Oryzias latipes: one gene and its partners. The protein of the gene in region 4 purifies or fractionates together with the protein of the main gene of each other region. This does not show direct contact. Links are inferred from orthologs where the notes say so. Each region holds a gene or a part of one and is shown on either strand. Other genes may lie near its edges.

What was found.
Region 1: the proteins of slc31a1 (region 4) and b3gat3 purify together in Homo sapiens (co-immunoprecipitation; 3 studies listed by BioGRID and IntAct, with this or other methods). This does not show direct contact. The link is inferred for Oryzias latipes from reciprocal best matches to the Homo sapiens genes SLC31A1 and B3GAT3.
Region 2: the proteins of slc31a1 (region 4) and stx7 purify together in Homo sapiens (affinity purification with mass spectrometry; 3 studies listed by BioGRID and IntAct, counting the BioPlex papers as one, with this or other methods). This does not show direct contact. The link is inferred for Oryzias latipes from reciprocal best matches to the Homo sapiens genes SLC31A1 and STX7.
Region 3: the proteins of slc31a1 (region 4) and usp32 purify together in Homo sapiens (co-immunoprecipitation; 3 studies listed by BioGRID and IntAct, with this or other methods). This does not show direct contact. The link is inferred for Oryzias latipes from reciprocal best matches to the Homo sapiens genes SLC31A1 and USP32.

Annotation. Positions count from the first base shown.
Region 1 is NC_019876.2:12,984,113-12,989,419, forward strand, and holds the start of b3gat3 (galactosylgalactosylxylosylprotein 3-beta-glucuronosyltransferase 3), read right to left. Parts: upstream 3,129-5,307; coding exon 3,047-3,128; intron 1,070-3,046; coding exon 886-1,069; intron 810-885; coding exon 626-809; intron 545-625; coding exon 383-544; intron 309-382; coding exon 222-308; intron 1-221. UniProt on the Homo sapiens protein: Glycosaminoglycans biosynthesis. Involved in forming the linkage tetrasaccharide present in heparan sulfate and chondroitin sulfate.
Region 2 is NC_019882.2:21,986,794-21,992,062, reverse strand, and holds the start of stx7 (syntaxin-7), read right to left. Parts: upstream 3,411-5,269; 5' UTR 3,396-3,410; coding exon 3,251-3,395; intron 2,192-3,250; coding exon 2,099-2,191; intron 1,997-2,098; coding exon 1,927-1,996; intron 1,408-1,926; coding exon 1,317-1,407; intron 1,230-1,316; coding exon 1,092-1,229; intron 489-1,091; coding exon 448-488; intron 366-447; coding exon 272-365; intron 203-271; coding exon 130-202; intron 1-129. UniProt on the Homo sapiens protein: May be involved in protein trafficking from the plasma membrane to the early endosome (EE) as well as in homotypic fusion of endocytic organelles. Mediates the endocytic trafficking from early endosomes to late endosomes and lysosomes.
Region 3 is NC_019871.2:30,207,739-30,212,927, reverse strand, and holds the end of usp32 (ubiquitin carboxyl-terminal hydrolase 32), read right to left. Parts: coding exon 4,990-5,189; intron 4,908-4,989; coding exon 4,815-4,907; intron 3,629-4,814; coding exon 3,455-3,628; 3' UTR 1,246-3,454; downstream 1-1,245. UniProt on the Homo sapiens protein: Deubiquitinase that can remove conjugated ubiquitin from target proteins, such as RAB7A and LAMTOR1.
Region 4 is NC_019870.2:343,418-348,093, reverse strand, and holds the end of slc31a1 (high affinity copper uptake protein 1), read right to left. Parts: intron 1,729-4,676; coding exon 1,527-1,728; 3' UTR 738-1,526; downstream 1-737. Other genes in the region: capsl (calcyphosin-like protein), read right to left, coding at 68-210.

The DNA of each region.
Region 1 (5,307 bases), on a different chromosome or scaffold from region 4:
ACTAGGTTTTGATCAGTAAGAAACAGACCCAAATGGCTCCTATTATTATTCAAGGTTGCAGAACCCTGATGTAAACAGTCGAAGATTTATGGTATGTCAAAGAGCGTGTGTTATTCAGGTTCTGCCGGCTACATCTCCGGTGTTAAAGGGTTAAGGAATCAGTGAGTAGTTGCAAAAATACAAGAACCTTTAGGCCCAAAATACTGTTTTTGTGAATGTACCTTTCCTCCTTCGACCACGGGCCTCTCGTATTTCATCCCACCAACCAGCCCCACCGGCCAGACTGACACCCGCTGGGTGCTCCTCATCTGAGTCAAAACCAGAAAAATCTCAAACCTTCAAGTTTCTGTTTCTGGAAACAGCTAAACATCTCATTTCTCACCTCTTCAAACACCTGCAGACTGTATGTGTTGTCGTCGTCAGCAAAATACACCACCCCCTGCAGGTTGTCCCCTCCCGCCTCAGCCCGTCTGTCCTCTCGCAGCCACCGCAGCCCCTCATTTCTTTGCTGCACGCCACGGGGCTTCAGCCAGCTGGGGTCTCCCTGTCCGAAAAACAAAAACAAAACAGGAGTAGGACCTGAAACAAACCTGAAGACCTGGAGAAAACAGGATCAGCCCTATACCTCCTGGAGTTTGTGGTCCTTGGCGGTTGGCACGTGCAGGTGGGTGTAGACCAAGCCGCTCTTCTTCAGAAGATCGGTGACCAGAGGAGTCTTCTGGGGCGAGTCCTCCACCACGATCCAGTGGAGCTGAGGGACGTGGAGGAAAGTCTGCGACAGGCGGGTCAGCTCTGCTTTCTGCACCAGCCTACAATAAGATCAGAGGAGCCGCTAGAGCCCAGAGCTAGCTGAAGACACGAAACACCAGGAAAGGCGGGGCTTACCTGGCATATGTGGGAGTGATGACGAAGATGGTGGTGGGCGGGGGGCCTCTGGCTGGCTGCTTCGGGGGTAGTTTGGTCGCCTCCGAATTCTTTATGACATCTTTCAGGTGGTGAAGCTCCTCCTGCAGGCGGGATATGGTGCGATCTTTCACCATGATGTGTTCTGTGCAATCGCAGCGCTGACCTGCTCAACACAGAGGACGAAAGGTTCTGATACATTTTCATACCGTAGCCCAGAGGTCGGCAACCTGGACCTCTCAAAGAGCCATTTGGATCCGCTTCCCACTGAGATGAAAGCACAGGGAGCCGCAACACTAGGTGTGTTAGAAAAAATGCTTTTGCCGACATATCATATCATTTAGTACTTGTATTGATTCAAAATACTGTCAGGATAGTTATTTAATTATTTATTTTAATTATTTTTATTCTTTATGAGCGTGATGTTTCCTTTGATCTTTTGTCCATTTCCCACAACCCTGAATAGACTTTTCCGTCTGTCGTAACAAATTCACTTTGATGCAGACTCGTTTCTATTTTTTCTTTTTCTTTAAATCCAGTAAACCCAATAAACTATAATAATTTTATGGATGACAACTATGTTTTATTAGGAAGCAGCTGTTGGTTTGTTGATGGTCTGGAATCATAAGCGGTGAGTCTAAGGCCCGCCCCCCGCCTCTCTACCTGTTCCTGGGATAAATTTGTAATTTTTATGAGACGTAGATGGAACGTCAATTTTGGAAGAGATTTTCTAAAACTACTGAACCTTTTTACACCGTCTTTTTAATTGGTATTTCAAATTTAAACAGAGGGTACAAGGATTAAGTTTGTATGACATATCCCCACATGCCCTCCCCTTTACTGCACCACTCTTTCATACTACAAATATTTTGTAAAATATACATTTTCAAAAGAAGTAAACCTCTCAATTGCACATTTCCAAAATAAAGTCAATCATTAAGTATTCTAACAGCAGAGACATCTAAGTCCTTTATATAATTTAAGAAGGGATTCCAAGTGGTAAAAAAATCTTGTGTACAACCCCCTAGCAGAGAAGCGAATTTTCTCCAAAACCAAACCATGTAAGAGATCATTTATCCACATCTTTAAAGTTGGAGGAAAATGATCCTTCCAATTGAGAAGAATAGGTTTCCTAGCAATTCAGGTCCCAAAGATAATTATGTTTTGTGCTTTGTGGTTGAGATTAAGATCCTGTGGGATTACGCTAAATATTGCAGAAATTACAGAAGGTTTTATAGGCCTTTGTAAAACATCTTAAAAATACTTTAAATATTGAATGGCAAAAGCAACTTAATTTTACACAGGACCAAAACATATGAGAGTTGGTGGCCGTTGATTGTTTACATCGATCACAAATTGGATAAATATCTGGAATGAATTTTGTAAGTTTTGCTTTAGATCAATGGAGTCTATGTACAATTTTAAATTGAGTAATCCTGTGACGTGAGCAAATTGAGGAAGAGTATATTCTGTCTAGGGCTTTCTCAGTGATATTTAAGCCTAAATCCTCTTCCCATTGGGTTTTTAGCAATATTAGGGGTGTCTTTTGATTTGCCTTGTATGAAAACTAATGAACTTTAACAGAAAGACGGTACAGTCGCAAATTCTAAAACCTATTTATTTAGAACTATCTAGTACTATTTATTTAGTACACATATAAATGTGATTGGTAACGATTATTTTTCTTTCAACAAAAAAAAAACATGTGCGACAGAAGAGTTGCACAACAGAGTTGCCACAGGTTTACAACAGCTTAAAAATCTATCAAGAAATCATGCACAGTTAGTAGAAAAGGCTGGGGGTCACATATTATTGACTTATGAAAGGAGTCTGTGGGTCAGGAGAAATATGAATGCAGATCGCATTTGGCCCACAGGCCGGACTTTGGACATGCCTGGTATATGGGAACTGGTGTCACTATTAGTAGCTGCTTGAATTCTGGTTTTATTTAAAAAATAGTTTTAGAAAGGGAATGTGAAAAAATGAATATTCTATATTCAGTGTTTTGCCAGTACTCTAATTAGTTTTTTATATGTTTAAACCATTCATTTCTCCCGTACAAATACTTTATTATAGGAATGTAACGAGGTGTTGATATTTTTGCTCTAAACGGGACACAGAAAGATGAGAATGCATCACTCACCAAGCTGCATAAGAGCATAGATGAGACCCATCAGGGAGACCATGAAGTACATCACAAACACTGTCTTCAGCTTCAGCTTCATCCTTGTTGCCATGGTTATGGTATCCTGAAATGAGAATGTTTAAAACATACACACGGAACCCATTACAAATATCACTTTGCTTTTAAATGCTCAGTGTAGTAACAATTAAAAATACCAGAGTGTTTTTCTGACTTGTAAAAATCTCAGGGTGACTTTTACGAGCAAAAAGAAAAGGTCGAATGCTAAATAACTGGATGACAAAGCAGGCCAAGTTAACCCGGCGCCTTCCGTCTGATCCTACCAGCAGCGGAAACGGCGGGAGGCGGGACTTAAGGCGACGAGGAGCGACGACCGCGACGTCTCATGTCATCCTGGAGGGACAGAGATGGACCCGTTGGAGCTTCGAGCGCAGCATCCATTCATTTACTGCGCTGTGACATCTCCGCAGCGCCTGCAACAGCTACTTCCGGAATCAGCGCAACACGAAAACGAGTCCCACTTGAAACATTTGCTAATAGTTCCGCGGACCTGGACACATTTTCCAGTTGAATTTAGAACCAAGATTCTACACCAGTCTGACTTTTTGAATCAACAAAGCGTAGTTTGGTCTTTAAAACCACTTTAGACCCAACACTAATCTGAAAATCCCATTTAAATTGGGAAACAATGGTTTCTTTGTTTGAGCTCATCATTCTACATTAACCACATTTTTCACACGTGTTTTAAAAAGAAAATATTAATGTAAATGTAAAAAACCACAAAGAAAATGCAAATTCTATAAAGTCAAAGAAGTTTCCTTTATTTGCAACATACAAATAAAACACTGACAAGGCAGAACGACTTTCCCTTTTATTGTCGCTGACAAGACTGTAACACTCACTCTCAAATATGTAGTTTTCTATGATTCAACACAATCTTCAGAGATCTGAACCTGTAAAAGGCCAAGAAAAAGAGAGGATGGAGCCACAACACTTTATATTTATACATATACATATTTATATACAGAGAAAAAAAAGAAATCTTGAAAGTTGAGAGGATTATCAATGTTTTTTTCTAAAACAAACTTTATTTAAAAAAAATGTAAGCTCACTTTTAACCTATACTTTCACTAAATCCTTTTTAAAGCTTGTGAGCTTTTAGAGGTTAAAAAACAGAAACGGCACACCTGCCTGGATTGACTGCAGCCCTGTGGCTCAGGTTCAAGGGAAATTCATGCAGCGTCACATTTGGAAGGGACTGAATAAGCTACAATTAACAGGTTTTTACTAAAAATGCAAGAATTCCAGGTGGATTTAAGGTTTTTACGTGGGAAAAAAAAAGAACAAAAAAAAGTAACACAGCTAACTATTCCCAGAAAGATGAGGTTTGATCAAATGTCATCAACCTGAGAGAAACAAACGGTTCATTGATGGTCCGAGGTCCCTCCCAATGCAAAATTTCTAGCGAATTATCTCTTTGTGCACTAAAAGGGAAGCATTAATGTTATGAATGGAAGTTAACGGAAAAAATACATATATTTGAAACTAAAATTATCTAAAGGCAAATAAAAAAAGGAATTTGTTTACATGACTTTTCAGTGCCACAAAAAAAAAAACTGTTAATTTGTGGTCCAGAGTCATACTGAAAAACAATTTCATCACTTGTCTGTCATTTTAGCCTTGACGTTGCTGACTGGTTTGAAATAAAAAAAACCAAAAACAAATATCTTTAAAATGCAGGCTGTGTTTCACTTTTGCACGCTGAAGATGCAAGAACAGGGAACGTCTCCCAATCCTCAGAACAAATCTGCGGTAACCGTAAAAAATTTTTCTTTGTATTCTTTTAAGCACTTATGCTTTAAGAAGCTCATGTGGTTCATTTCAGACCAAGGAAAGAGATGGTAGCTGGTAACCACAACTAAAAGTATAATATTTACAGTTCAATGTAACCGTCACTATTAGAGAATATGAAGAAAACGCTATTAGCGGAAGTGAGACATCTGCCTTTCACAATAAAGCAAAAACTCGGCTGCAGACTCGCTTATAACCTCTCAATGCTGAATAGGGTGTGACCTTTCCCACCGTTTCCACTTAAAACCTGCCCAGCAGAGATGCTAAAAGTTGATAAAAGCCAAAAGAGGAGAATTTAAAAAATGATTATTAGAACTCAGTAGGCGATGCTTTATTGTTTCTTTGCCTGGTAGCTAAAATTTAAATGGCTGCAACTTAAGACTTTAGTTTGATCTAAAATTGACTAAGCA
Region 2 (5,269 bases), on a different chromosome or scaffold from region 4:
ACAACGAGGTGGAAACATGGCTGCAATTAACAAAACTGCAATGAGCAAAGCCCAGCGCGCTCCTCTGGACGGAGGGGGAGATGTGCCTCGATGCAGCTGCATGTGGAACTGAAGGTAGCTGGCGCTCACCTATCATGTCCCCCTGCTCGTGCACCATCATGCCAAGGTCCTTAAAGATGTCATTGATGTCTGTGATGTCCGCCTAGAGAGCACAGAGAGATGAGCAGGAGCTTTAGAATGACCCTCACCACAAACACAGGGGGCTGCTGACCTCCAGCTGCCTGATGGATGACTCTCGCTCCTGGATCAGCCTCAGGTCTTCTTCTGTGATGGCTTCAGCCTCCGTCTGGACCTGGGAGTAACTGCAGATACAAGCACACCACATGGCTTCAATAGTGCAGCCACGACAGAGGCGAGGAGAAGAACCTTCATAGACAGCCAGCTCACCTTGGAGGAAGATGTCCGAAGCCGTCATCAGGCTGACCTCCCTGCTCGAGACAATTTACAGGCAACTTAAAACATCTTCAGCTGTGGAGGACCTGAACCTCTAAGTCCAGCCGCGAAACTACTGAGAAGTTCCTGTTTCTGTGAGGACCGTATCCACAACAAGGACAATGCCTGTTCTTACTTTATGGAGATGTTTGAATGCCAGCAAGAACCACAACCATCAATGAATCAACATAAAGAGATCTGCCCCCCAACCAGCGGAAGGCTCATGCTGGGTCTGGAACAGGCTGGGACAGGTGCATCTGCTCACCTGACCATCTGAAACATTTCCTCACAGCGCTCACACTCACCCACTCCATCCTGAACACGCCTATAAACCCAGACACACTGTCACTGGAAGAAGCTTTTCTCATTTCCTCAGCTGGAGGGTTTCATCTGAATAACCTGTCTACGTCTGAACGTTCAGCCAAACTCTGAGCAGATGGTACATTATGGCCCAGAACAGCTGAAACCGGGAAACCATGGCAGTGTTGTTCAGAAAGAACCCGGATGGTCCTGGTTGTGGAACGTGTGAGTATGAGGTGAGCGTGCACGGAAAGCTCTCGCTCACAGCACTCCCAGAAATGACGAAGGCGAATACGAACCGACAGCCTGGAGCCAGCTCGGACTCGGGCCACGAACTCCCGCTCCTTGTCGGCGGCCTGCCGTTGGGTCTTCTGGAAACTGTTCAACGCAGCAGAGAAGTCATTGAGCAAACGCTCCTTCTGCAGCTTCCTCTGCCTCTGAAAACACAAACACAGCTGATCAATTCCCACAAACTCCTGACCGGGTTCGATGTGATCGGTGCGTGGGACGAAGGGGCCTCGTACCTGATCGGGACCGACGGGGAGGGCGGTGAAGGCCTTGATCAGCTGGTCGGTCTCCTTGGCCAGCTGGTTCCCCTGCTGCTGTTTCTGCTGACTGAGAACCAGAGGGAAGCATCTGTGAAACGTTTCACTCGAGGAAACAGAAATCTTACAAATCCATTACTCCTGACGTGGAAAATGCTCGGGTTTCAGGAGCTAGCTGAGTACAGAGTAAAAAAAAACTATTCTAAAGGTTGAAAACTACTTTTTGAACCTTAAACCCACTGAATGGAACTGTTTTAAAACAGGGACAAATGATCCCATTCAAGTAAAACACTGTTATAAGAATAGAACTTACTTTAGTAACAACCTGCATCTCCAATGTGTGTATATGAACATGTATGTGTTTAGAACATCTTTTTAAAGTTATCTTTCTGTTTTGATGAATGAATTAGATGCTAAAATAATAAAGACAGTCTGCTTCCTGCCATTCAGGAGTCTTTACAAATGAACTGACTGAAGGAACAAGGGAAACGTATGTGTGTGTGTGCATGGTGACCGTCCACAGACAGGCCGGCTGTCGGTTTGAACTCATTTGGCTGCATGTGTGATCAAGCAGGCGGTCAGAACTCACAGCGTCTGTCTGAGCTGGCTGCTGTCCTGCTCCGTCCCCAGCAGGGTCACGGCCCTCTGCAGCTCTGAGGCTGGAACACAGATCCATGAGTGAGGATGCTGGGGGTCCAGTGGGGTTCAGCATGTGCACAGGTCTGTGTGGGTGTGTGTGTGTGTGTGTGTGTGTGCATTACTCAGTAGTGTGATCCTCTGGATGTTGGAGCTGATGTTCTGAACCAAAGCGGCGGGCTCCCGTTGAATCCCAGCCTGGTAGGCCATGATGAGAGCTGAGTTCACACAGAAAGACACATTTATGTCTTGCTTTCATACAAACTGCATGTTTAACCTTTAAAGTCCCCCAACCATCATCTTATGATCTATTGTCAAAGTGTTCCCAGCGGTCTTTTCACTACGATTCTGCTGTTTTTAGACTAAATCAGAAAACGTTGTCGTTTTCTAGGACATAGTTTCTGCGGACTGGGAGTAATTCATTAGAAATTCCCCTCTAAGGTGTGGGCGGGACTGTTGGCGAAAAGCACAACACCCCCCCTTCCCGTCATCCATCTTTTTACAACTCTCCCCTGCTAGCTTACAGCCCCTCACAACCTCAAGCTAATATTAGTGATGCAACAAAAATGGTGATCAACATCAGATCTATCATCCGTCCAGTTCTGATCCAGATTCCAGGTCAGACCAGGAAGACAAAGACGTTCACGGATCTGTTTGTCTGACAGATCAGAATAGAGCAGAGCAGGGAGCTGGTGACCTGCTGATTGTAGTTTACGTAACAACTAAGAGGTTTTTCAAACAGCATTTTTTCTTCTGCTCCTGATTCACAACGATTTGAAGAAAGAAATACTCAGAAATGCAGTTTTAAGCTTGATTTTCTATATATATGTATGTCCTCCATCATTAGAAAATGCTACAAGAACATGTAAAAACACCACAAACACCATTTTCATTGGAGTAGGTTTTTAACTAGCAGGACGGGTGCTGGCAAAACCCAAACCCAAAACTGTTGTCAATCAGGAGCAGACAAAAAAAGACTGTGATGAAGACTAGTGATGTAGAAAATACTCTGGCCAGGCCAAAGTGTCCCTGCCCTGCTCCATTCTGATGCCCCCACCTGCAGACAAATAGATCCATGGACAGCTCCAATATTGAGCAGCATTCTTGTGGTGCCGCTAAAGCTATGGATGACGGGAAGTGAAGGTGGGCTTACTCTGTACCAACAGGATCAGGAGGGAAAACTACACCATCATCAGCGTTTGTCTGACATAAGCATCAACAGTCTGAGGTCAAACCAACGTTTTGATAACAAATGGAGATGATGGAAACTTCCTCACAGCTTTGAGTGATGGAGGCAGTGAAAACACAAAGAAGGAAAGTTGCTTTTCCTCTCAGAACAAATCCTGAAACTCTGAAACGCTGAAGGTCAGAACCAAAGAGCTGCTGCAGCAAACACCAGCCCAGCTGACCCCTGACCCCCATCCATGCTGGACCAACGTGGGCTCATGCCCAGTCTGCTCTGATCGGGGGCCAGTTGGGGGGGGGGGGGGGGGGCGTTGACGCGGGTCAGGCAGTTGCTCACGCGCGTTTCCGGGACCAGCGGCGCTCCAGCGTCTGCTATGATGACGCGTTTTTAGGACCCCGTCAAGACCCCCTCCGCCGTGCGTTACGGGGCAGCCTGCCGCCTGCAGCGGTCGGTCGGTGGGGCTGCAGTCTTTCCAGCAGCCGCAAATGCGGAAATCAGAGGACTTTCTCGGAACACCACGGTCTGTGTCCTTCCGTGACGGCTGCTCTCTCCCGGAGTTTCTGTTTATAAAACCCCGAACTTTAAGCGTCAACGTGACGTTTAGCTCATGAAACTACCGGTCTCTACACAACTGCCCCCCCACCCGCCCCCAGCCCGGTTCGGGACATCTCGCCGTTTGTCCTCAGAAAGTGAAGCGCTCCGAAACCCGCGGTAGGATTTTGGATCGAGACCAAAACCTGCTCTAGAACGGTTCGGTTCGTTTCTGGGATCGTTTGGACTTTACCTGCGCTGAGACTTGGAGCTGCGCCGTTTCCTGACTCGCAGCCACTCCCCGGTCACATGACGCGCACGGCCCGGCCCCGCTGGAGCCAAGAGCCGCAGGAGCCGCAGGGGCCAGGGGACACTCCCACCAAAGACTGGAGACAAGGCTTCAGGGTTCTGCTGCGCCCCGGTCCTTTAGGATGGAAACGAGTCAACTCCACAAAAACAAGTCATAACATTAACAATAAAGGACTAAAACATAGTTTCAGCGCGCTGGAGCAAAATGATGTTTATTCAAAAAATATGACAGAGTCTGAAGGCCACATATTTGAGAAGGAGGGGGGAAAGGAGACAGAGGTGGAGGTCTTCCTCATGTTAAGGTTTTCCTCATGTTGAGGTCTTCTTCAGGTGGAGGTCTTCCTCATGTTGAGGTTTTCCTCAGGTGGAGGTCTTCCTCAGGTGGAGGTCTTCCTCATGTTGAGGTTTTCCTCAGGTGGAGGTCTTCCTCAGGTGGAGGTCTTCTTCAGGAGGAGGTATCCCTCAGGTGGAGGTCTTCCTCATGTTGAGGTCTTCTTCAGGAGGAGGTCTTCCTCAGGTGGAGGTCTTCTTCAGGTGGAGGCCTTCCTCAGGTGGAGGTCTTCTTCAGGTGGAGGTCTTCCTCAGGTGGAGGTCCCCTGCAGTTCTCTCCCCTTTGGACCCTTCGTCTCCACTCAGTAGAGGAGTGGAAATCTGGATCACAGACATAGGAGGAAGCAGGACATGAACCTGAAGCGTCGTGGAAGCAGCAGCAGGTCTGTAGGAGGCAGCAGGTGTTTATCCACATATAGAATATATATCTTTGCACTATCTTTTTCCAAACTGGCAGATCAATGACATATTTGTATTCGTCAACAGCAACATGCAACTGTGTTGTATTACAGACTCATTCTTGCTCTGTAGCTGGAATATGTGGAAGGGCGCTCATGAGCTCCCTGTCCTGGCTGGGCTCCAGCCTCGCCCTGCTATTGACAGACACATTTGGCTGCGTAAGTGACCCCTGACCCCTGCAACCTCCTGCTTTGGCTGCTCATCTTCTGCTGCTGAACCTTCAGGGGTGTGAGATGATCCCAACACAACACTTCTGCTCATAGAGTGTAAAGTCACTGCTCGTTTGAGCTGAGATGTCAATCAAAGTATTTCAATGAAAACCAGGTTATAGCTTACAGCTTTCTCTTGTTTTAGCACCACCAGCAAAGGGGAGGAGGAGAGGACCTGGGGGGGGGGGGGGTCCACCTCGGATGAAAGAATTTGTCAAATGTACAAATAACTTTCTGAATGCGGCTCTGTTCAGAGAACACAGAATAATTGT
Region 3 (5,189 bases), on a different chromosome or scaffold from region 4:
CATCTTTAAAAACTGGAGCAGAGGACTATTTTGTTGTTCTCCTGTTGCCTTCATGTAAAGCGCATGTAAACTTCTTACGTTTTGAAGGCCTTTACATTGAGAACCCAGATCTGTTTGACTTTTGTTTTAGAACTATTGTTAGGGCAATAAATATCATGTAACTTTACCCGGCTGAATTCTGTGGTTTCTACTCTCGACTTTTTGAATGCGCGTGGAAAAGCTTCAAAGCGAAAGGTCTTTTCCAACAGTGTTATAAAAGGTTGATAGGATGTTTAGGGTCAGTGTGCACACAGCTCTGAGCTGTTGTTGGGTGCAGAGACGTGTGCAAAGCAGTGGCTCTTGTGTTGAGGTTTTGGCTCATTTCCAGATCAATGGGTTGATCCTTCGTTAACCTTCTAAACACAAAACAAGGTTTTACAAACATCAAAAATCGGGGCATTTTCAAGGTGAAAAATAAAATCATTAAAGGGCCTTTACCATGCAAGGGCAACCTTTTTTAAGCTTTATTATAATGTTCATTCCTAAGTGGTATTTTCAACTAATCACGCATATCTGAGCATTCCTCCAAAAACCTGCTATCTGAGCACCAGCCCCTCCCAACCCACGAAAACAAGTGGGTTCTCACATTGTGACATCACAAAGTGAAGAAAAGCCCCTTCCAGGCAGCACCCACCCAAGGCAAATACACACACTTTCTCCATGGAGCTAAACGCTTTCATTTTTTGTGCACATCCATCTTTGCAAAAGTTTGGATTTTGGTCTTTGTGGGCGAAACGCAGACCCACTGCAGAGGCCTCAAATGACTGATAGAAAATGTTTTTTGATATCAGAAAACACTTTTCATTTAAAACTTCTCATATTAAAGGTCAGGTAAGGGAGAGGAGTATTAATGGTGTGGGCTCTATTATCAGCAACAGGATCCATATAATTTACTGGGTTCTTATTATGAAAACTTAGATCATTTATTTAAAAAAAATTATGTTTTTGGTCAAAAATGGTTGAAATGCAAAGCATTGTTGTCTATTTTTGCTAATCTAGTGAGCATCAATGCCCACCAGTTATTTACAGGGACTTCTGGGAAACTTCTAGGCCAATGGATTTGGAATTGTAGATTTGAAAGCTCTATAAATTGGCAAACGCCCTTTATAATGCACTAAGTAGTGAGTAGTAAAAGAATTTGTACACATTTTCAACCTTTGAAAAAAAGAAACAAAGACCCGGCAGTCTTAAAAAAGCAAAAACTGCTCTCTGTTTCCTCTGCAGATTTTAATTTGTTGCTTGGGTATTTTGTTACAGATCAACAATATCACTCCATATACAACTACAATTACAGTATTTGTACACTTTGTATTCAAATACATAGTTTTCGTTGGCTTATTTACAGAACACATTTATGTACATGTTTTCATGTCAGTGCAATGTCACTTTCTGTCAACAAACAACTTACAAAAATCTTCTTTAAATTAACACATCAGGTTAAGATCCAACATTAATGAACTTAAATAAGAAGAGGCTACAAACACTGACAGTCAGCTCAGTAGTAGATTGCACTGCCTGTCCACTTGTTTTTCAGGGGCGGGGCTTTGAGGGAGGGGCGGGGTCAGTAGCGCGGAGCTGCAGATCATGGACTTGCACTGGGTCAGTCACATACAAAAGTCATCATGTATTGCACCTTTAACTGCAGCCAATGTTTTAAAAGAAGTTCTGTAGAGACAAATCCTCCTCTGACTTCTAAAGACGACACGAACGGCTCTGCAGCTCAGACCTGCAGGAAGAAGACGGAGAGCTGGGCAGAAAAACCACTCATTTGTTCAACAAATGGATCAGCCTAAAGAAAGTTTCTTTAGTCACAGATTTCTTTCCTCCTCACAGCAACGCTGCTGTTGGCAGGTGGGAGGAGTGAGTTAGGAAGCAATGGGACCTCAGGGGGGAGCCCAACTCAAGCAGAGAACAAGCAAATGTAGAGATGCTTTAGAAACAGAGCCAAGTCCTGCATCAACCGAGATGCACCTAAAAACAATCTCAACGAATGGGATCTTTATGGAGAACGAATGGACCCTACAGATGCTGAAATGCATTCTGGCCTTTGGGCTGGCAGTCAATTGAAATGGTTTAGCAGTGGACTTTGTCCTGCGTGCGGCCCGTGACGCTGGGTCTGCTCCTTTATGGACACTTCAACGCCAGGGCAGGAAAATGTGCCAAGTCTGGCTTCAAACTGGTTCATTTCTAGGGTCAGGGGTCAGGGGGTTCTGCAGCTACCATCCATGACACCTGAGGCCTCCTTTTTGTTGCCCTGTTTTTTTTTTTAAAGTCATGCCGTTTTTATGACTTTACAGGACTTTTTTCTGAGGCTCTCACTTTGTTGGATTGAAACATTCAGGGTGTGTCAAGTTAACAGGTGCGTGATACGATAAAAGTCACTTTAAAATCATGTAGGGAGGAAGGACGGAGCCAGGGGAGGGCGTGTGAGGGAGGAGACACATCAGCCTGCTTCAACAACACTGAGACAGCTTCTGAAGCACAGACTGCTTCTTTTCTTTTTTTTACAAAAATAAAAAAAATCTCACAAAACAACAGAACTGCAGAGGGAAAACATTTGCTATCTTAATGTGTGTAGTTTGAAACCATGGCACCGTTCTCAGAGGAAGCTTCCCCGCTGAGTTCTGGCCACGCGCTGGTCCACACGGCACACACAGCCACAGACATTTGGCAGAGCTGGAATCAAACGTGTGTTTGGCAGAAGTGCCTCCTCTTCCCATCAGCATCAGGATGGATGCGCATGACCTGGAAGCGGGGCAAACGTTCCTTTTTGGCGCTCGGGGAGCCTGAAATGTCCTGCCTCTCATAGACGTTAACACTGTTCCAGCCTTTCCTGGGGAAGAAACTGCAGAGAAGCGATGAGGTAGCAGATGACTCGAATTATCTCGACTAAAACTTTTGGAGGAGCATTCCTAAAACGCTGGTCACAGTACGCCCCGCAGACGGGGGGGGTTGGTCCTGGCAGCACATGTGACACCTGCACACACACACTGGAAATGTGGCTTTCCGTTGGGAACTTAAACGCCTCTTCCTCGTCCCGGAGCGCCTCCGCTTCGTCACTGCGTGGCGCGTCAGACTGCCGTACATTCGCAGACGTGCTGGCACATGTTACATGTATGCAATGGAGAGATTCACAACGAGAAGGGGTGGAGCTTGTTTTGCAAGGCTCAACAAAGTGCACCTGTGCAGTGCTGTCGGGGGGGGGGGGGGGGCGGGGCTTCACTGTGGCCTTGGCAAAACCTTCTTGCAAAAACTCGTGTTTCAAAAGTGCTCTCTGAAGGCGCGCAAGCAGCAGGGTCCCGTCTGCAGCACTCAGCAGTTTGTGAGGATGCTCCAGAGGGATCGAACGTGCGGAGCGTCTCGCTCAGAGGGGCGGAGCCGCAGGAAGCGCTGGCTGATGGAAGACGAGCAGGGGTCACTGCAGCACACAGTACTTCTTATAATCGGACTCAAAGTCTTCGTCCATGCTACTGGTGTCGGCCATCTTCTTGCCGTCAGTCTTTGGCAGGAACCGGGAGTAGTCCACTCCCTGCTGCTCGTAGAACAGGATGTAGGCCGAGTCCGTATCGATTTCCTCAGAGTGCACTTCCTGTTGACCACAGAACAGCAGAGTTTCAGAGTCGGATCAGTCAACTGTACTGATCCACGTTGACCTCAAACATCACTTTGGGTCTTTTAATATTGATCAACGCCAAATAATTGGACAAATACTCCAACATTAACTTTGAGCTGCACACCTAACGTTCTGTGTGCGATGGCTGCAGGGTCAACGCTCCGGCAGGTAAACCAACACTGGATCTCCCAGCTCATCCACAGGTAGGGCCAAAACTCAGTTTTTGTCAACTTTTGAAAGTATCTCTGTATTTCCCATTTGAAATGCTATTGCTTGCTTGTCTGGTATCATTTTAATATGCACCACCTCACCTGTGACACTAGCTTCATTTTGTCATTTTTCCATGTTGTCGTCACACACTAGACATGAAACCACAAAAAAAAACAGAACATTCCGTCTGGAACAAAGTGATTAATTTTGCTGTAGGAATGTTCAACAAAGCGTTTTTACAACAGAATGAAAATGTCAGGTGCCATTTCATAAAAATAAGAAGAACAAAAGAACCAAATGGACAGATTTGTTTGTGTCAGATGTCTAAACGGAGGCCACATGGCAGGCCTCATGCTGTGACCTTTCTTACGTTCTTATCCAGACACTTCAGTCTGACTGTGTGGCTTCAGCTTCCAGGCAGCCAAAGAAAATTGAAAGTGTTTTCTGGGTGCTTTGCTGTCCATTTGGCATTTTCCAGGAATTTGGGGGGTTTTGTGCAGCTTTTTTATTTGTTTGTCCTTGTTGCGTTAGTGGCAAAGCATAACAGAAAAACTTTTTTTTTTCCGACCCTGCAGCTGGATTTCAGGTACTCTGCTTGGCTGGAATCTGCTCACAGGTGGAGGCGTGTGTTGCGCCTCCTCTGTGTTCAGGGTGAACTCTCACCTCCCGCAAAGGCGTGGGGCGGGACTTCATCTTCTGCCTTTTTAGTAAAGTACCAGCCGTTGGGAAGGACAACCCGGGGCGTCCGTCGGTTCCAAATGGTTAAAGACCTCCAAATTTTTGAATAGACCTTTTTGTTTAAACGTATCTGATTGGACCAGCACATAAATCTAATTGCCAGGCCACGGCTCTGAACACAACAGACTCTAAGTTCTTCTTTCTTTGTTTCAATTGAATAAAGATTCAAAAGTCTGTGGAAGAGTTGCAGCAGTTCCCTCATCTGCTGACTCACCTTACAGCTGCTGTCGTTGTAGCAGTACCACTTTCTGTTGGGGTTTTTGGCATACGTCACATAGTGGCCGCCTCCCATGATTCCTGAATGGCACTGAGGACAGAGCAGAAGGTCAGTCAGGTTGGTGGGCACCAGGACTCTTCTTCACTGCTGCTGTGACATACGTGTGACCTACTGATATTGCATAGAGGTTGTAGATGGCGTCCAGGCCTGCGCTGTCCCTGTGCGGCAGCAGAGGGCCGTCGGGCTCCATGCTGCTCTCTATGCTGCAGTCAGAGCCCAGCCCGTTCACCAGCATCACGTCACAGTGGCTGCTGGACGCCTCTGTATCACATGACGATTCGGAGCCCGCCTGCTCCCCAGATTCAGGCAAAG
Region 4 (4,676 bases):
TTGCTAGAACCAGACTCGTTTAAAAACTCATCTGCGCGCGCGGGGGGCGGGGGTGGGGGGGTCTCACCTGTAGAAGGTTTTTTCCGGTAATCCAGGCGTCTCTGCGGCGTGGCCACTCCGTAAACAATCCTCGGTTGCCATGGAGACCAACGGCCCTACCAGCGGCTCTGTCACGCAGTCACGTGTTATCCACGTTCGAACAGAACACATCCGAACTTTTCCCAAAGAACCGGGCCGATGTTCTGTCCGTCTGGTTCCGTCTCCTCGGATCAACGTGGATCTGCACCGCTGGGTTCTAAGCCTTTATGTTCTGTGACATGTCGGGTTCAGTGAAGATAATCCAGAACCAGAACCAGAACCATCCACCCTTGGAGAACAGAAACCAGCAGCGTTATGGGGAACATCATTGAACCTGAACTAAGGGGGCAGCAGAGAGGCGGGTCAGAACCGGACCGGAGGGTTTGAACGTCAAGGGTCGGTTTGGTTCCTTAAGTGATTTTTATTATTAATATTTACTTCCGGTCTCCTCCTGCCGACCTGGACATGCAGACAACACAAGGAAAGACCTGGAAAACCGCTTTTAGGAGGAGCAGACCCCAGGATGACGTCATGACAGAAGAAATGACATCAACCAGGCGTCCGCCACAGGAAAGGCCTTATGATACGGGGGTGGGGGGGTGGGGGGTGGCCTTGACCTCACACCTAGAAGTTCACTGATGTCATGAAAGGAGTCCAGAACCAGAACACAAGAACTTTATTCTGTTATAATTCCAGCATGTTGGCATAAAACACTTTGATAAAACCTTCACAACAATCACAGGAGGTCACATGCCCTTCATCAAACTGTCTGTGCGCCGTCATTGGTCCAAAAGATAAAGCCCGCCCACCTCAGTGTACATGGCTAGAGCAGAGGCGGGGTTTCCATCTCCATGACAACAGCGGATGGCTGCTGAGTAAGGCAGCAGACGGAGGATTTAAGGCCCATGGCGGCGAGCGATCAACATCGTTGATGCTCAGAGTCGGTTACCTGAGAGCTGTACAGGATGATCACATGGCTGCGCTCTGATTGGTCGATTCTTCCACAGACACAGGAAACAAGAATAATCATGAGAATCTGTGTGTACATTTAAATAAAGACACAATTTGTCATGTCGACAAAGAAAGTGTAAACAGGAAATCAAACAAAACAAGTCTGTGCTGGTTCCAGGTCGTCTGTCAAACCGATACCCACATGAGGTTCCTGGTTGGTTATACTGAGGGGGAGGAGCTACGCTAACCAATGTGGTCATGGCACTAAAGGAAAGAAGATGTTTGGCTGATAAGATTCTGCCCTCCCATTGGCCGGCTTGTCTAACTTCAAAGGTTCACCGCAAGACTAACGTTTTGGGTTTTCCAGCCGACAGGCGGCGCGACATTCCCACCGCGTTAACATCTGTGATTATACGTCTTTTACTGCTAATTACTTGGTATTCCTGCTAGCAAACAGCTAACAGGTGTTAGAGTTGTGAGGTTAACTAGCATTGTGGCTAATGACAATGCTCCGTAATGTCGACCACCACAGCCTTTCGCCAGCTGAACAGGAAATAGCCCATGCCGGCGCCAGCTGCCACAGCGATGCAGAGGTAACCATTGTAGGTCATAAAGATGAGCATCAGGAAGTAGCTGATCACCACCTGGATGATGTGCAGCAGCGTCTGTAGGAAGTGGGCGGAGCTTAACATCCGCTGCCTGAGAAAGAGAGAGGTTAGCATGTCAGGTACAGCTAGGGTGTCAGGTATTGCAATCATGTCAGGTCTCACTAGCGTGTCAGGTCCCGTTGGTGTGTCATGCATCAGTACCGTGTCAGATATAGTTATTGTGTCAGGTACCGTTAGCGTGTCAGGTCTCACTAGCATGTCATGTACTGTTAGCGTGTCAGGTACCGTTAGCGTGTCAGGTACCGTTAACGGGTCAGGTCCCGTTAGCGTGTCAGGTACCGTTAGCGTGTCAGGTCTCACTAGCGTTTCATGTACTGTTAGCGTGTCAGGTCTCTCTGGCGTATCATGTACCGTTAGCGTGTCAGGTCTCACTAGCGTGTCAGGTACCGTTAGCGTGTCAGGTCTCACTAGCGTGTCAGGTCCCGTTAGTGTAGCAGGTACTGTTAGCGTGTCAGGTCTCACTAGCGTGTCAGGTACCGTTAGCGTGTCAGGTACCGTTAGCGTGTCAGGTCTCACTAGCGTGCCAGGTACCGTTAGCGTGTCAGGTCTCACTAGCGTGTCAGGTACCGTTAGCGTGTCAGGTCTCACTAGCGTGTCAGATCCCGTTAGTGTGTCATGCATCAGTAGCGTGTCAGTAATAGTTATTGTGTCAGGTACCGTTAGCGTGTCAGGTCTCACTAGCGTTTCATGTACTGTTAGCGTGTCAGGTCTCTCTGGCGTATCATGTACCGTTAGCGTGTCAGGTCTCACTAGCGTGTCAGGTACCGTTAGCGTGTCAGGTCTCACTAGCGTGTCATGTACTGTTAGCGTGTCAGGTCTCACTGGCGTATCATGTACTGTTAGCGTGTCAGGTCTCACTAGCGTGTCAGGTACCGTTAGCGTGTCAGGAACCTTTAGCGTGTCAGGTGTCACTAGCGTGTCAGGTACCGTTAGCGTGTCAGGTCTCACTAGCGTGTCAGGTACCGTTAGCGTGTCAGGTCTCACTAGCGTGTCAGGTACCGTTAGCGTGTCAGGTCTCACTAGCGTGTCAGATCCCGTTAGTGTGTCATGCATCAGTAGCGTGTCAGTAATAGTTATTGTGTCAGGTACCGTTAGCGTGTCAGGTCTCACTAGCGTTTCATGTACTGTTAGCGTGTCAGGTCTCTCTGGCGTATCATGTACCGTTAGCGTGTCAGGTCTCACTAGCGTGTCAGGTACCGTTAGCGTGTCAGGTCTCACTAGCGTGTCATGTACTGTTAGCGTGTCAGGTCTCACTGGCGTATCATGTACCGTTAGCGTTTCAGGTATTACTAGCATGTCAGGTACCGTTAAGGCCTGTTCACACCGGGACGAATTTCGCCGGCGATTTTCGCCGACGTTTAACGCTTCGTGACTAAACAAAGGGCACCAATGAGAGTGTGCACACCGAGGCGAAAAAACGCCACGCGCTAAAGCGTCAAAAAAAAAAACGCCTCGGGTTCGTTTTTTTTTTCGACGCGTCGCGTCGAAATCTATTCGACCGATGAGAATGGCGCTTTTGCACACGTGTCTGGAGCTTCTGAAGTTACAGTAAAACACAACTTGGGGGCGCTCAAACACAAAACTGCCTTGCTGAGCACACATACCAGCGAAGAAGATAGACGCCAAGTAGCGTCTACACTGCCGCGAAGAAATAATGACGGACATTCTAAAATATCCCCGAACAAAGCACCAGTTGGAGCTACTGATGCTTGAAATATTCATGTTTTCTTTGTATGATTCTGACAAGCGCGTAAATACTTGCTCTCTTCTTCTGAGTGAAAAGCGACTTTAAGAAGCGTTAAGTTGCGCAGCGCCACCTTGTGTACAGGAGTATTTCTGTTTACATTAAGCGCCATCTAATGTCAGGGAATGAAATTGCATGTTCGCTCGGCTAACCGTCAGCGAAAATCGCCTGGGTGTGAACACAAACAGCGTGTTGAAAAACACTGGCGAATAACGCCTGGCGAATATTCGTCCCGGTGTGTACGGGCCTTTAGCGTGTCAGGTCTCACTAGTGTGTCAGGTACTGTTAGCGTGTCAGGTACCGTTAGCGTGTCAGGTCTCACTAGTGTGTCAGGTACTGTTAGCGTGTCAGGTACCGTTAGCGTGTCAGGTCTCACTAGCGTGTCAGGTACCGTTAGTGTGTCAGGTACCGTTAGCGTGTCAGGTACCGTTAGCGTGTCAGGTACCGTTAGCGTGTCAGGTACCGTTAGCGTGTCAGGTACCGTTAGCGTGTCAGGTCTCACTAGCGTGTCAGGTCTCACTAGCGTGTCAGGTCTCACTAGCGTGTCAGGTCTCACTAGTGTGTCAGGTACCGTTAGCGTGTCAGGTCTCACTAGTGTGTCAGGTACTGTTAGCGTGTCAGGTACCGTTAGCGTGTCAGGTCTCACTAGCGTGTCAGGTACCGTTAGTGTGTCAGGTACCGTTAGCGTGTCAGGTACCGTTAGCGTGTCAGGTACCGTTAGCGTGTCAGGTACCGTTAGCGTGTCAGGTCTCACTAGCGTGTCAGGTCTCACTAGCGTGTCAGGTCTCACTAGCGTGTCAGGTCTCACTAGCGTGTCAGGTCTCACTAGCGTGTCAGGTCCCGTTAGCGTGTCAGGTACCGTTAGCGTGTCAGGTCTCACTAGCGTGTCAGGTACCGTTAGCGTGTCAGGTCTCACTAGCGTGTCAGGTCCCGTTAGTGTGTCAGGTCTCACTAGCCTGTCAGGTACCGTTAACGTGTCAGGTACCGTTAGCGTGTCAGGTACCGTTAGCGTGTCAGGTACCGTTAGCGTGTCAGGTACCGTTAGCGTGTCAGGTCTCACTAGCGTGTCAGGTCTCACTAGCCTGTCAGGTACTGTTAGCGTGTCAGGTCTCACTAGCGTGTCAGGTACCGTTAGCGTGTCAGGTCTCACTAGCGTGTCAGGTCCCGTTAGCGTGTCAGGTACCGTTAGCGTGTCAGGTCTCACTAGCGTGTCAGGTACCGTTAGCGTGTCAGGT